Caenorhabditis elegans: one gene and its partners. The protein of the gene in region 3 interacts with the protein of the main gene of each other region in a pairwise test. Each region holds a gene or a part of one and is shown on either strand. Other genes may lie near its edges. The genes, in order: lim-9, glh-1 and zyx-1.

What was found.
Region 1: the proteins of zyx-1 (region 3) and lim-9 interact in a two-hybrid assay, tested with the Caenorhabditis elegans proteins (one study listed by BioGRID).
Region 2: the proteins of zyx-1 (region 3) and glh-1 interact in a two-hybrid assay, tested with the Caenorhabditis elegans proteins (one study listed by BioGRID).

What each region holds. Positions count from the first base shown.
Region 1 is NC_003279.8:9,219,035-9,222,788, forward strand, and holds the start of lim-9 (Protein espinas), read right to left. Parts: upstream 1,695-3,754; coding exon 1,624-1,694; intron 15-1,623; coding exon 1-14. Other genes in the region: aspm-1 (Calponin-homology (CH) domain-containing protein), read right to left, coding at 2,973-3,409, 3,554-3,627, 3,676-3,754.
Region 2 is NC_003279.8:6,852,804-6,856,557, reverse strand, and holds the start of glh-1 (ATP-dependent RNA helicase glh-1), read right to left. Parts: upstream 2,081-3,754; 5' UTR 1,747-2,080; coding exon 1,707-1,746; intron 1,650-1,706; coding exon 1,215-1,649; intron 1,172-1,214; coding exon 1,097-1,171; intron 1,049-1,096; coding exon 1-1,048. Other genes in the region: sacy-1 (RNA helicase), read right to left, coding at 2,494-2,613, 2,661-2,857, 2,902-3,149, 3,212-3,330, 3,460-3,633, 3,682-3,754. UniProt on the Caenorhabditis elegans protein: Probable ATP-binding RNA helicase. May act redundantly with the P-granule component glh-4 to regulate the formation of the granular structure of P-granules in embryos. Plays a role in positively regulating the localization of pgl-1 to P-granules.
Region 3 is NC_003280.10:13,055,136-13,058,889, reverse strand, and holds the start of zyx-1 (Zyxin), read right to left. Parts: upstream 1,739-3,754; coding exon 1,694-1,738; intron 92-1,693; exon of another isoform or gene 71-91; intron 1-70. Other genes in the region: azyx-1 (Alternative N-terminal open reading frame of ZYX-1), read right to left, coding at 1,694-1,795, 1,882-1,922. UniProt on the Caenorhabditis elegans protein: Functions both as a mechanical stabilizer (via LIM domains) of focal adhesions, and as a sensor component for muscle cell damage (via N-terminus).

The DNA of each region.
Region 1 (3,754 bases), on a different chromosome or scaffold from region 3:
CGTCTTGAGCGATTCTGAAAATTAAATAATTTAAAACATTTTCCAATAAAGTGAATGGCTAAACATTAAAACATGTTTCTGCTGTTTGCAATTAACTTTCAATTTTCGACTAAAACTTATCGTAAGCTCTCTCAAAATAGGTATGAAATTGAAAAAGGAAATAGGCAATATTACTTTCAAAGTGTCAAAATATTTTCTAGTTTTTAATTCAAAGCCAAAAATGTTCTATCAGAATTATAATTTAATTTGCAAGTGGTAATTTGTTTTTAATTGGAGAAATTATTTTTGCAATGCAATAAAAAAATCGACTAGTTTTGAAATTGAAAATCAATAAATAAAATGAAAATCACGAGGGTTCAAAAACAAGAACAGAAATTTGAGAAATTCGTTCAAAAAACATTTAATTTCTCAAATTGTGTGTCACTATTAAAGGAAAGCCAGGGTGTGGTCACTTCATGATCATATCGAAAATTGCCAATTTTATGTTTATTTTCACTTTTTGAAGGAAGAGACGATTGGATTATGAAGATAGTGGATAATGACAACAAGATAATGAGAAAATATATTATGAAATGAGAAATATCATTTGGATTTGAGAGACTCAGAGATTCACACACACTTCCCGAATATGGCATATATATCAATTGATCTTCAATTGATTAGGTACTCTATTTGTGTTGCATAGTTATATATCGAGAAATATAAATTGTGTACCCCAAAAAGTACTCCGGGATATGTGCTACAAATACACTCCAACATGACTTTAAAAAATAATTAAACGCTTCAAAAAACTTTAGGTCGTTCAAAAATTTCTGTCAAAGTATTGGTGAATCGCTAAATTTTGACGGAAATTTATTGGTAAAAAAATTTCCACTTTTCGACTGCAAATAAAAATATCTTTCAAAGCTTTTTACATTTTAGCAACGAATTAATTGGTTTCAAACAATTTTCTTATAGGCGACGTTCCACATTAAATTGTATAAATGATATTGGCCAGTCGATTTGAAAGAACAAATAAGTCTCGAACATCTTCTTCCGGAAGATTGCAGAAAAGTGTGCCTTAAAACTGGCAGTTATGTCACTTGTAGTCATTTTGAAAAATTGATCACAGAAGGATTACAGCGGGGTTTAGAAGGAAGAAATGTAGAGTTTGAAAGGGTTCTTACTGGTTTCTAAACACTTTTTTTGAAGAGAATTTTGAACTCTTCTACTTTAAGTTTATTACCATGACTCTCCTGAAGTTTTAATATTACAAATAAATTATGCATAACTCCAGAATAAGTTTGGTGAACTTTCCATGATTGGACAAAAGGTCATACCCGAGAGAGAGAAACATCCAGATACAGTAACCCACACTTGACAATACCTAATTTTTGTCGTGTCTTTTAGAAGAAAAATGGCAAGATCTGGTTTTTTTGGTATCTAAATGGTTTACCGTTTTTTACACATTTTTATTGAATAAATAACTTCTCGAACACATTTTACAAAAGCTACTAATATGCCTTTATAAGTTTATGAATTCAAAAAAATTGGGTGGAAAGTATTATCTACTATTTTAAGATGTTTTTTTTCAGAGATCTATCCATAACTATCAATTTTCCATTTTGTGAAAAAAAAACTTACGAATCTAATTGATAGGCAAGAAGATATTTGAATGCATTTGACAATTCTCTTGGACCAACATTGTCAGACATATTACAGAGAGGGGGCCAAGTTGAAAAGAGTTCTACTTCTGTTAAGTACTTATTATATTAGTTCAAGTGTCTATTTGTATAGAATAAAATAAAAGAAAAAGAAAAATTTTGAAGATTTTCTACTTCTATTCCAAATGATCTTCTGACCATTTTCTTGAATACGAAAATCGGGAAAATGCGAGCACAATATCGGCCAAATTATATGCGTCTTTGACTTATTCTCGTGATTTTTCAACCAAACAATACCTCAAAAACTAATAATTAAAAAACTGTGTAAAGACAAAACATTGATAATATTGTCTAAATTGCTGCCAAATTGTTATTACGTAGACGTGCAATGGTCTCGCCATTCGAACAACGGGTTACTGTAACTCGTATTAATGTACGGGCCGCTATTGCACAATTATTTTTTCTAAATAAATCTTGTCAGTAATTTCTATTTTTGAAAATGATGATACAACTTTTAGTGACCCGTAAACCGACATGAGTTACAGAAACTCGTTTCCCACGTGGCGAGACCCATACGCGCCTTTAGAATTCAAAAACATGTGTTGCAAGAGAACATATACAAATCTATTCCTGTAGATGTCAGCCGCTTCAACTTTTTTTCCAGAGGAAAGCAAAATCTAGACAAAGTTATAATGAAAATCCTGTCTGGTAAGTTTTTTAAAATTACTACTTAAGTAGCTACTTTTGATTTTTTTTTGTTGTTGAAAAATCACCAACTTTTGGCCGGCACTGCATATAGCTGGAATTAATAAAAACTAATGAACAATATTTTAAAAATTCGGAAAAACGAGTACTACTTCTCTCAAACTTTCGAAAAAAACCATAAAAATTTTGAGTAGGCGGAGCAGGAGCCGAATGACGTGACAAAGTACAAAAAAGAGCAGAAAAAGATGGTCGGAGGGTTACTGTGTAATGCGAACGGAGAGTAAGACGAGTAACTATTTGCAAATCGGATGAGCCATCTGCTACGCAACAAGTGCAAAACTCAAAAATTTTAAAGAGGGAACAGAGAAAAATAGCAGACTTCTTGAATTTCTAAAAGTAGCTAAATTCATCATACTCTAAAAAAAACGGTAGTATTTAAAATCAAGTTTTTACTTCACAACAGACTTTAAGAAACAAATATGAAATACCAAAAAATCCAAATAAGCATCAGGTTGACTGATCTTATTGGTAAATATTCACATAAAAATAATTAAACCGTGTGTATTTTTTCACGATATGATACACAAAACGGTGGGATGAATTTAATATTTAACAGAGACTAATTTAGAGCATATCTTCGCATATGCTTTCCAATCTGACCAATTTATTCCGACACTCCTGATCCTTGACTTTTTTGAGCGACTGCTTGATTGAGTAGCTTGATGAAGAAAAACTCGATTGCTTTTTGTCTGGGAATCTTCTAGCAATTGAAGTCAAGGTGTTAATGATAGGAATAAACAATTCCTTGACTTCCGAGTGCTTCAGCATCAGTAGCATCAAGCGAGGCGACAAAATCTTCAAGTGAGGGAGAATATGCGAATTGGTGACTTCTTCGGGAATCTTCGTGAATAATTTTTCGAGAACATTCAATAATGGATGAAGAATGCTCGTATAAGAGAATCCTCGATCCGCCACAATCAAAACATCAGTGATCGACTTGATGCCATTCAGTTCGACGACAAGCTTTTCCAAAAGTGATGGAACAAGATCGGTGACTCGGTCTGCAAAATATGAACATTTCTATGTGTTGTATGGTTTTGCAATTGACGAAGAAAATCATCCATGGCGGCATATTCATAAACTTTTGGTTTCTATGACTTTCAGATCAAAAAGCAGCTTCTTCGTAATTTTCATTTGCGACATACCGATGACAGTTGCAGCAACATGAACGACGTGAAGGTTATCATTTGTGAGTCCATGAAGAGCGCATTTCTTTAGCCTGAAAATCAATTTTTTTAAATATATTTAAAAAAAAAAGAGTTCTCACTTTGCCTCGACTGATTTATCCTCCATTTCTTCTATACCAATTTGCTCGTCTTCTTGCGCCAATATGTGATTGTATTGGA
Region 2 (3,754 bases), on a different chromosome or scaffold from region 3:
ATGAGTGTCTGGCGATTTTCTTTCCTCGGCATACTGTCATAATTGACAATAGTTTCGATGTCAGTTCCGAATCCCATAGCATCGATCATACGATCAGCCTCGTCAAGAACAAAGAAGCGGCATTTGTCAAGCTTGATGGTACCCTCTTCACAGAAGTGCTTGATTCTTCCGACAGTTCCGACAATGATCGTGGCTCCCTTTTCGATCTGACCCTTATTATAACCGACAGCCAATCCTCCGTAAACTGGTTTGATCTCCATCATTGTTTGATAAGCAAACTTTCTTCCCTCGTTGTAAATTTGATCAGCGAGTTCGCGAGTTGGAGTCAAGATGATGCAACGGGGATAGCAACCGCCTTCTCCGGCAGTGTTCAGATTATTATCGTCAATGAGACGAGTCATGATAGGCAGAAGGAATGCAGCGGTTTTTCCTGATCCAGTTTGAGCACAAGCCATGATATCATATCCCTGATGAACAAGTGGAAGAGCATATTGCTGAATTGGAGTGGTCTTGGAGTATCCAGCATGAGCAACGTTTTTCTGCATGGTCTCCGTGAGATTAGCTTCCGCGAATGTCTTGCAAGGTTTGATACCGACAGTCTTCTCGGATGAAGTCAGTTTAACTTCGGCATCGAAAAACTTGTTGAACATAAGGCCTTCCGAAATTTTCTGCATGTTGAAAACGTCCTCCATGTTGTCTTCGACTGGCACGTATGTCGCCTTAGGTCCTTCTCCTTCAACACCTTCCCTTGGCTTGGCTGGATTGGGGCACTCATTCGAGCGATGACCTTGCTCGCCACAATTGAAACATCCACGGGGTGGCTCCGGACATTCAGCAGAGCGATGTCCCTCGCCTTTACAGTTGAAACATTTCATTGGACCACGTTCTTCGCCTCCACCAAAACCACCGTCCCCACCGAAACCGTCATTTCCTCCATTGTTTCCAAATCCAGCTCCGCCCCCGAATCCACCAGTGCGACCCTCACGCGGCTTGCGTTCTTCTGTACATTCACGAGAGGTGTGCCCGGGTTGCTGGCAATTGTAGCACACTGAAAATAAAACAAATTACTGCCAATAAAGTTATATCAAAATAAAACCTCTCGGCTCTCTTTCCTTTCTCGGCTCTGGACAGTCACTCGATCGATGTCCTGGCTGTTGGCAATTGAAACAATCTGAAACAAACGTAATTATATAAAGTCAATTTAAAAAACGAACTATTGTTTCTCTCTCCGCCGCCATGTCCTCCTTCCCCAAAACCAGAGTTGCCACCTCCAAAGGATCCTCCTCCACTTCCGAATCCAGTTGCACTACCTCCAAAGCCACCTGATCCTCCAAATGCACTTGATTTTTCACCGCTTCCAAATCCAGATGTGGCAGTACTACCACCGAATCCAGAACTGGCTCCTCCATACGGCGATCCTCCTGTACTGCCTCCACCGAAGCCGGATCCACAAGTATTTCCACCTCCAAATCCAGAACCGCCAGTCTTTCCTCCACCGAATCCAGATCCGCCAGTGTTTCCTCCACCGAATCCAGATCCGCCAGTGTTTCCTCCACCGAATCCAGTACCTCCATTTTTACCACCACCAAACCCAGATCCTCCATTGTTACCACCACCGAAACCGCCTCCACTACCGAATCCAGTTTTGGCTGAAATAAAGTTTTTAATCAAAATAAAACCGGTGGAAAGTTCAAAATAAAACTCACCCTTAGCAGCACTTTCGCTATCACTCCAACCATCAGACATTTTCGCAGAAAATTAAGATTTTTCCAGAAAATTGAGTTGAAAACAGCAAAAAGAATTAGGAACTGTCCCAAAATTTAGTAGATGAGTGTGTCGAGGTTACTGTAGTTGGGGCGCGTGGCGAAACCTAAACGGTGTGAAAGTCTGTGTTCCTTTAAAGAATCGACTCTTTAAGAGGCACCACGGTTTCAAGATCTGATGGGATTCCGGATCTACGTTTTCCGGATCTACCATTTCCGGATCTACGTTTTCCGGATCTACGTTTTCCGGATCTACGTTTTCCGGATCTGGCACCGTGCCAACGCACAAAACGCTTTTCAACGCACGACTTTTTTCGAAATTTTCTTCTAGAAGAAACGCTTAACAACACGCGACGCGTAACATCGGAGCGTCGTTGTCACTTTTTTCTTCGAAAAAATAGCGTTTTAAGAGTTTGCACGGTGCCAGATCCGGAAAACGTAGATCCGGAAAACGTAGATCCGGAAATGGTAGATCCGGAAAACGTAGATCCGGACTCCCATCAGATCTTGAAACCGTGGTGTCTCCTTTAAAAAAAAGAATTTTGAGAATGCATTTAATTCATTTTTCTTTTTCAATGAACTCGATCAATTAATTATTTTCATGTTTTCTCGGAAATCCAGACTTTTTTTAAACATGAAATAAATAGTACAATTCTGACAAATATTTTTATAAATGTAAACAAGAAAACAGTAAATAAATAGATTGAGATACAATGTATGAATAAAATAATCAGAAACCACCATCGTCGCCTCCACCTCTTGCCAATGCTTGCGTCGTTTTGTTTCCGATTCCAGCGAGTTTTGGACAATCTGTGATGCGATGACCCAGACCGGAGCAGTATGCGCATCCCTGAAAACATGTTGAACTTCCCGATTTTCTAAATGTTTTCTAACTACCTTTTCCGCATTTGTGCCAGCTGGAGCAGTTCCCTCCTCGTCACCAGCCAACATTTTGAGAAATTCTGGAAGTTCCTGCCCTGCTTCTGCGAGTAATTGTTTCAAGTCGGAAAGCACTGACATCTCCGATTTTTTGTTGATAAATGTCGTTGCGAGACCTTTCCGTCCGGAACGTCCGGTACGACCAATTCGATGAACTGAAAATAAAAATTCAATTATGAAAAATAAATAAGAAATTCACCATAGTTCTCAATATCTTCAGGCATGTCAAAATTGATAACATGTTCAATTCCTTGGAAATCGAGTCCTTTTGATGCAACATCTGTTGCCACAAGTACATCTTTCTCATTTTTTCGGAATGCCTCAATTCCAGCATGACGGTCACTTTGATCTTTTCCTCCGTGAATTGAAGCAACTTCAACTCCTTTTACAAGCAAGTACTCGTAGATATTGTCAACGTCAACTTTCTTTTCGGCAAAAATCAAAACTCTGAAATATAAAACCGTTGCCATATTTCTAAATTAATTATTTTCTGATAAATAAAATCTTACTTGGGAGAAGTCTTTTGAAGGCATTCAAGTACACGAACCAATTTGTTTTCTGATCGAACAAACTCAAGCTCCTGGAGTACGTTCAATGAAGCAGCACCCGCACGTCCAACATTTACGACCTAAAATATTTATAATTTACAGACAAACTCCTGAAAAATTATTCTTTAAGAATTGAAGAATGACAACTTTTGGGAGTAGGTTAAAAAATTATATTTTTGAAACTTCTCGATTGCATAAATAAAACTTACAATAGGTTTGACCAGTGCTGATTTTGCGAAAAATTGAATCTTTCGTGGCATCGTAGCCGAGAAAAGGAGAGTTTGCCGTTGAGCTTTGAAGAAATAGAAAATTGATTTAATTTCATCTTCAAATCCCATATCAAGCATTCGATCAGCTTCATCTAGAACTAAGTAACGGCAAACCTGTAATAAATTGAAGCAATTTTTGAAATCTTTGAAGTTATGTCTTACTTCTAAATTTATAATTTTCTTGGTAAGCATATCAGATAGTCGTCCTGGTGTCGCAACAACAATATGAATACCA
Region 3 (3,754 bases):
GCTTTAAATGACAGAATACTGTCCTAATATACCGATTATAACTGTTTAAAATTTAAAAAAAATTTTAATTTTTCATTCACGCCCAAACTAATTGGGTTTTTCTTTATTTTTTTTCTTTATTTTATAATTTGAAACATATTTAATTTTCCAATTTTTCAGAAATTTTTCCGTAAAGAAAACTATATAATTGCAAAGAAAATTGCCAAAACTCTGAAATTGGATTAAACTTTGAAATTGGCCAAAATGGAGACTAATATAGCGGGAAAACACAAATACCGTATTTCTTCTATTAATATAGCTGCAATACTATTTTTCGATGGTCTTCCCGCTTGCAATACTAATAGGGAGTGCAAGACTATTAGGGAGTGCAATACTAATTTTCAGAACATTTTCTGACTTTGAGCTTACTAGTTTTTTCCTGAAAAAGCTCGAATCATATGTAAAAATTCTGAAAATTTGATTTTCATATAATTTCAAAAACTTCAATCTCGTAGAAATGATGTGAAAACTGTTGCAAAATAGGCAAAAATGTTGTTGAAATCCTGAAATTAGCGAGACGGGTTTGCAATACAAAAAAGTTAACGCAAGACTATTAGAGAGTGCAAGACTAATAGGGAGTGCAATACTAATTTTCGGAAGGTCTCCGAGGGGCAATACTAATAGGGAGTGCAAGTCTAATAGGGAGGCCATATTAATAGAAGATATACGGTATGTCGAAAATGACGTCACTCAGTTGCGCGGGAATTTAAATTTCATTCGGCCCTTTTTATTATTTTTGCAAAATTTTAAAAAAATCATAAAAAATTTACAAAAATTTTATAATTTTTTTTACTGTTATGTATGGTATATTGGGGATGTATTCTGTCATTTTTTTCTTTATTTTTCGAAAAAACCCTCATTTCCGCTGGATAAAAAAAATTTGCCACTACGATTATGGTTAGCAATAATTTATGGTTTTTCAAGTGATTAATGAGAATAATTAAATGCCCAGGGGTGCTAGAAGGAGCACATAAATTACCGTATGCAAATCGTTTACCTTCATATGCAAAATGTGCTTTGAATTAATAGAAAGGGTATTGTCTAGAGCGTGGGAAGTGAAATAGAATTCAGAACGACTCTAAGAGCCGGCAGTTCAGAAATAAATTAACGATAATTAAACCCATCTGCCTCCAAAAAGCCAAGATTTTAAATTTTGAAATGTCTATTTCCACGTGATGTCAGGATGTCTCATTACAGTTTGATCTACAAAAATGCGGGAATTTTTTGTTCGGAAAAATTGTGATCTACAAAAAATGCGGGAATTTTTTGTTCGGAAAAATTGTGATCTACAAAAAATGCGGGATTTTTTGTTCGGAAAAATTGTGATCTACAAAAAATGCGGGAATTTTTTGTTCGGAAAAATTGTGATCTACAAAAAATTCGGGAATTTTTTCAGAAAAATTGTGACGTCAGCAAGATCTGCGAAATCAGATGAGATGTCTGCGTCTCAACTCCCGCACTTTTTGAAGATCAAATCGAAATAAGAAATTCTGACAATCCCTGAGCTTTTGGGGGTTTTATCGAGCTACCGTAATGGATAACATACATAATTTTTAAACCTCTCTCCCACGCCATTGATTTTTTTTCAAACTTTTGGCCTAAAAAAATTTCAGAACATTTTCCAATTTTCTTTTGCAATTTCAGTTCAACTTACGGATGGGAGTAGAGGGGGTGGTGGAGGCGGAGGCGGGGGTCCCATAGATCAGTAGCGGATGCCGAGTCTGGAATAGTGCTGAAGGAGCGAGCACGACCCAAGCTGAAAGACACATATGTTGGAGGTCAGGACACAGAGCAAACAATTTAACACAACAAAAACATGAAGAAATGAAAAAAAAACGATACCTTTGACTAGGATAATGAGGAAGTGGTGAGAGGTAACTCATATTAGGATGTGCGACCTGGATGGATAGAGAATGTCTGGAGAGCGCGCCTCGGTGTGGTGTTTAGTATGTTTAGAGTCTTGGGGGCTCCGACGGACCCCGAGGAGCTGCATGCCACAGGAACCCCGGGCGAACCGCGTCGGCGTCTCTTCACATCCTTACGACTCTCTCGCTTCATCCCGGCAGGAGCCCATTTTACACTTTGGCTCACAAAATTCGACTGATGGCAGGAAAAATAGAGAGGATATGGGAGGGGGGGGGGGGAGATTACAAAAAAAGGAAAGCGAAAACGAGGGATAAGCGATGAACAAAGAGGAAAAGAGATAAGCAACAACATCTGCTATTGGAAGATGATATCAAAAATTTCGTGTGAAATCCACGTGGCAGACAGGAAATTGGTGGCTGATAATTTATAGGGGAGAGGGACCGGCAATATTTAAGTTATGGTTGGAGATTATACAAAAACCTAGAGTTCACAGCGTGGCCTAGAAAATCTAAAACTCATTATTTATATTTTAGCAATTTGATCTTAAATAGATCATTTAGAGTTCGAGGAAATTACCCTATGTGTGTTAGCGGCCGAGTTTTCTCATTTTCGCGGCCACGTATATTTTTCTCGGGTTCTAGGCCATGACTTTCGGCTCAACCTAATCGTTTTATATTTCAGATTTTTTTTTTAAATTGCTATTTGAAAGCACAGATTTAGATCAAGCACAAATTTGTGATGTGGCCTAGAAAACAGATAACTCGGCCATCAATTAAATTTTTCAAAAAGTTTTCCAGATTGAATCTATAAGGTGTCGTCTACATACAATTCGAGAAAAAAAATGTTTGTAGCGTAGCCGAGTTTTCTTATTTTTTCGGCCACGAATATTTTTGTGACGTCATATTTTCAAGTGGGCCTTGTCGGGTTCTAGGACATCACATTCGGTTTGAATTTTTTTTTTCAAATCCGAAATTTGCCTAATTTTATTCTGGAGCACTTTTTTTATACGAAAATTGAAGTTTAATCTTTCTAACCCAAAACTGTCCGTCATTTGTGGCTTGGCCTAGAAAAAAACGGGAAAACTGGGCCATCAACATATATTTTCTTTATTGCTAGAGATGATCTTAAAATAGCCTTTTACAGTTAATGAAAAGACCCCTTTTCATCCTTTTTATAATTAATTGTTTTGTGGCCGATCTTTCCCATTTTAAAGCCAATATTAACTTCGATTTATGTGATTCTAGACCATTCTAAAAAATTAAAATTTTGAGAACTTTGAAGTTTTTAACTTCAAAGAATTTTTGTATTCAAAAAAGTCTTCCAACCCCAAAAAAAACTGTCATCTTTGAAGCACAGAACGCCATGCAAACAACGATAAAACATTGGAAGAGCGGAAAGAAGAAAAAAACCGACGCGAAAAAAAGTCTGTGGTTTTATGGATGGTATAGTTGTGCCCAACCCTCTCTTCTTCTCTTTTCACAGGAATTTTATGGGCGGTTTCGTGGGCGCAATCATGATCATTCCCTAATATTTTTTTTTTTCTACAGAAAAAAAATATTTTAAGAAAAAAAACTTTTGGCTGGAATTCGTGAGAAACAAAAATTGAAACAAAAAACAGTTGGTGTACAAACATTGAAAAGAGGAGTCTATGTATTTTTCGACTTATTTTAACTGCCTGAAACTCTTCCTCTTTCTGCCTAGAATAACCGGAATTCTATGCAAGCAAACAGGGTAATAGGTGAATCACATAGAACTTTGAACTTTGTCAGGAGTTCGCAGGGGATTAGATTCTTAGGTGGCTTATGGTGTTTTTGTTTTGGAAATTTGGAAAATATGGGGTAGATGGCTG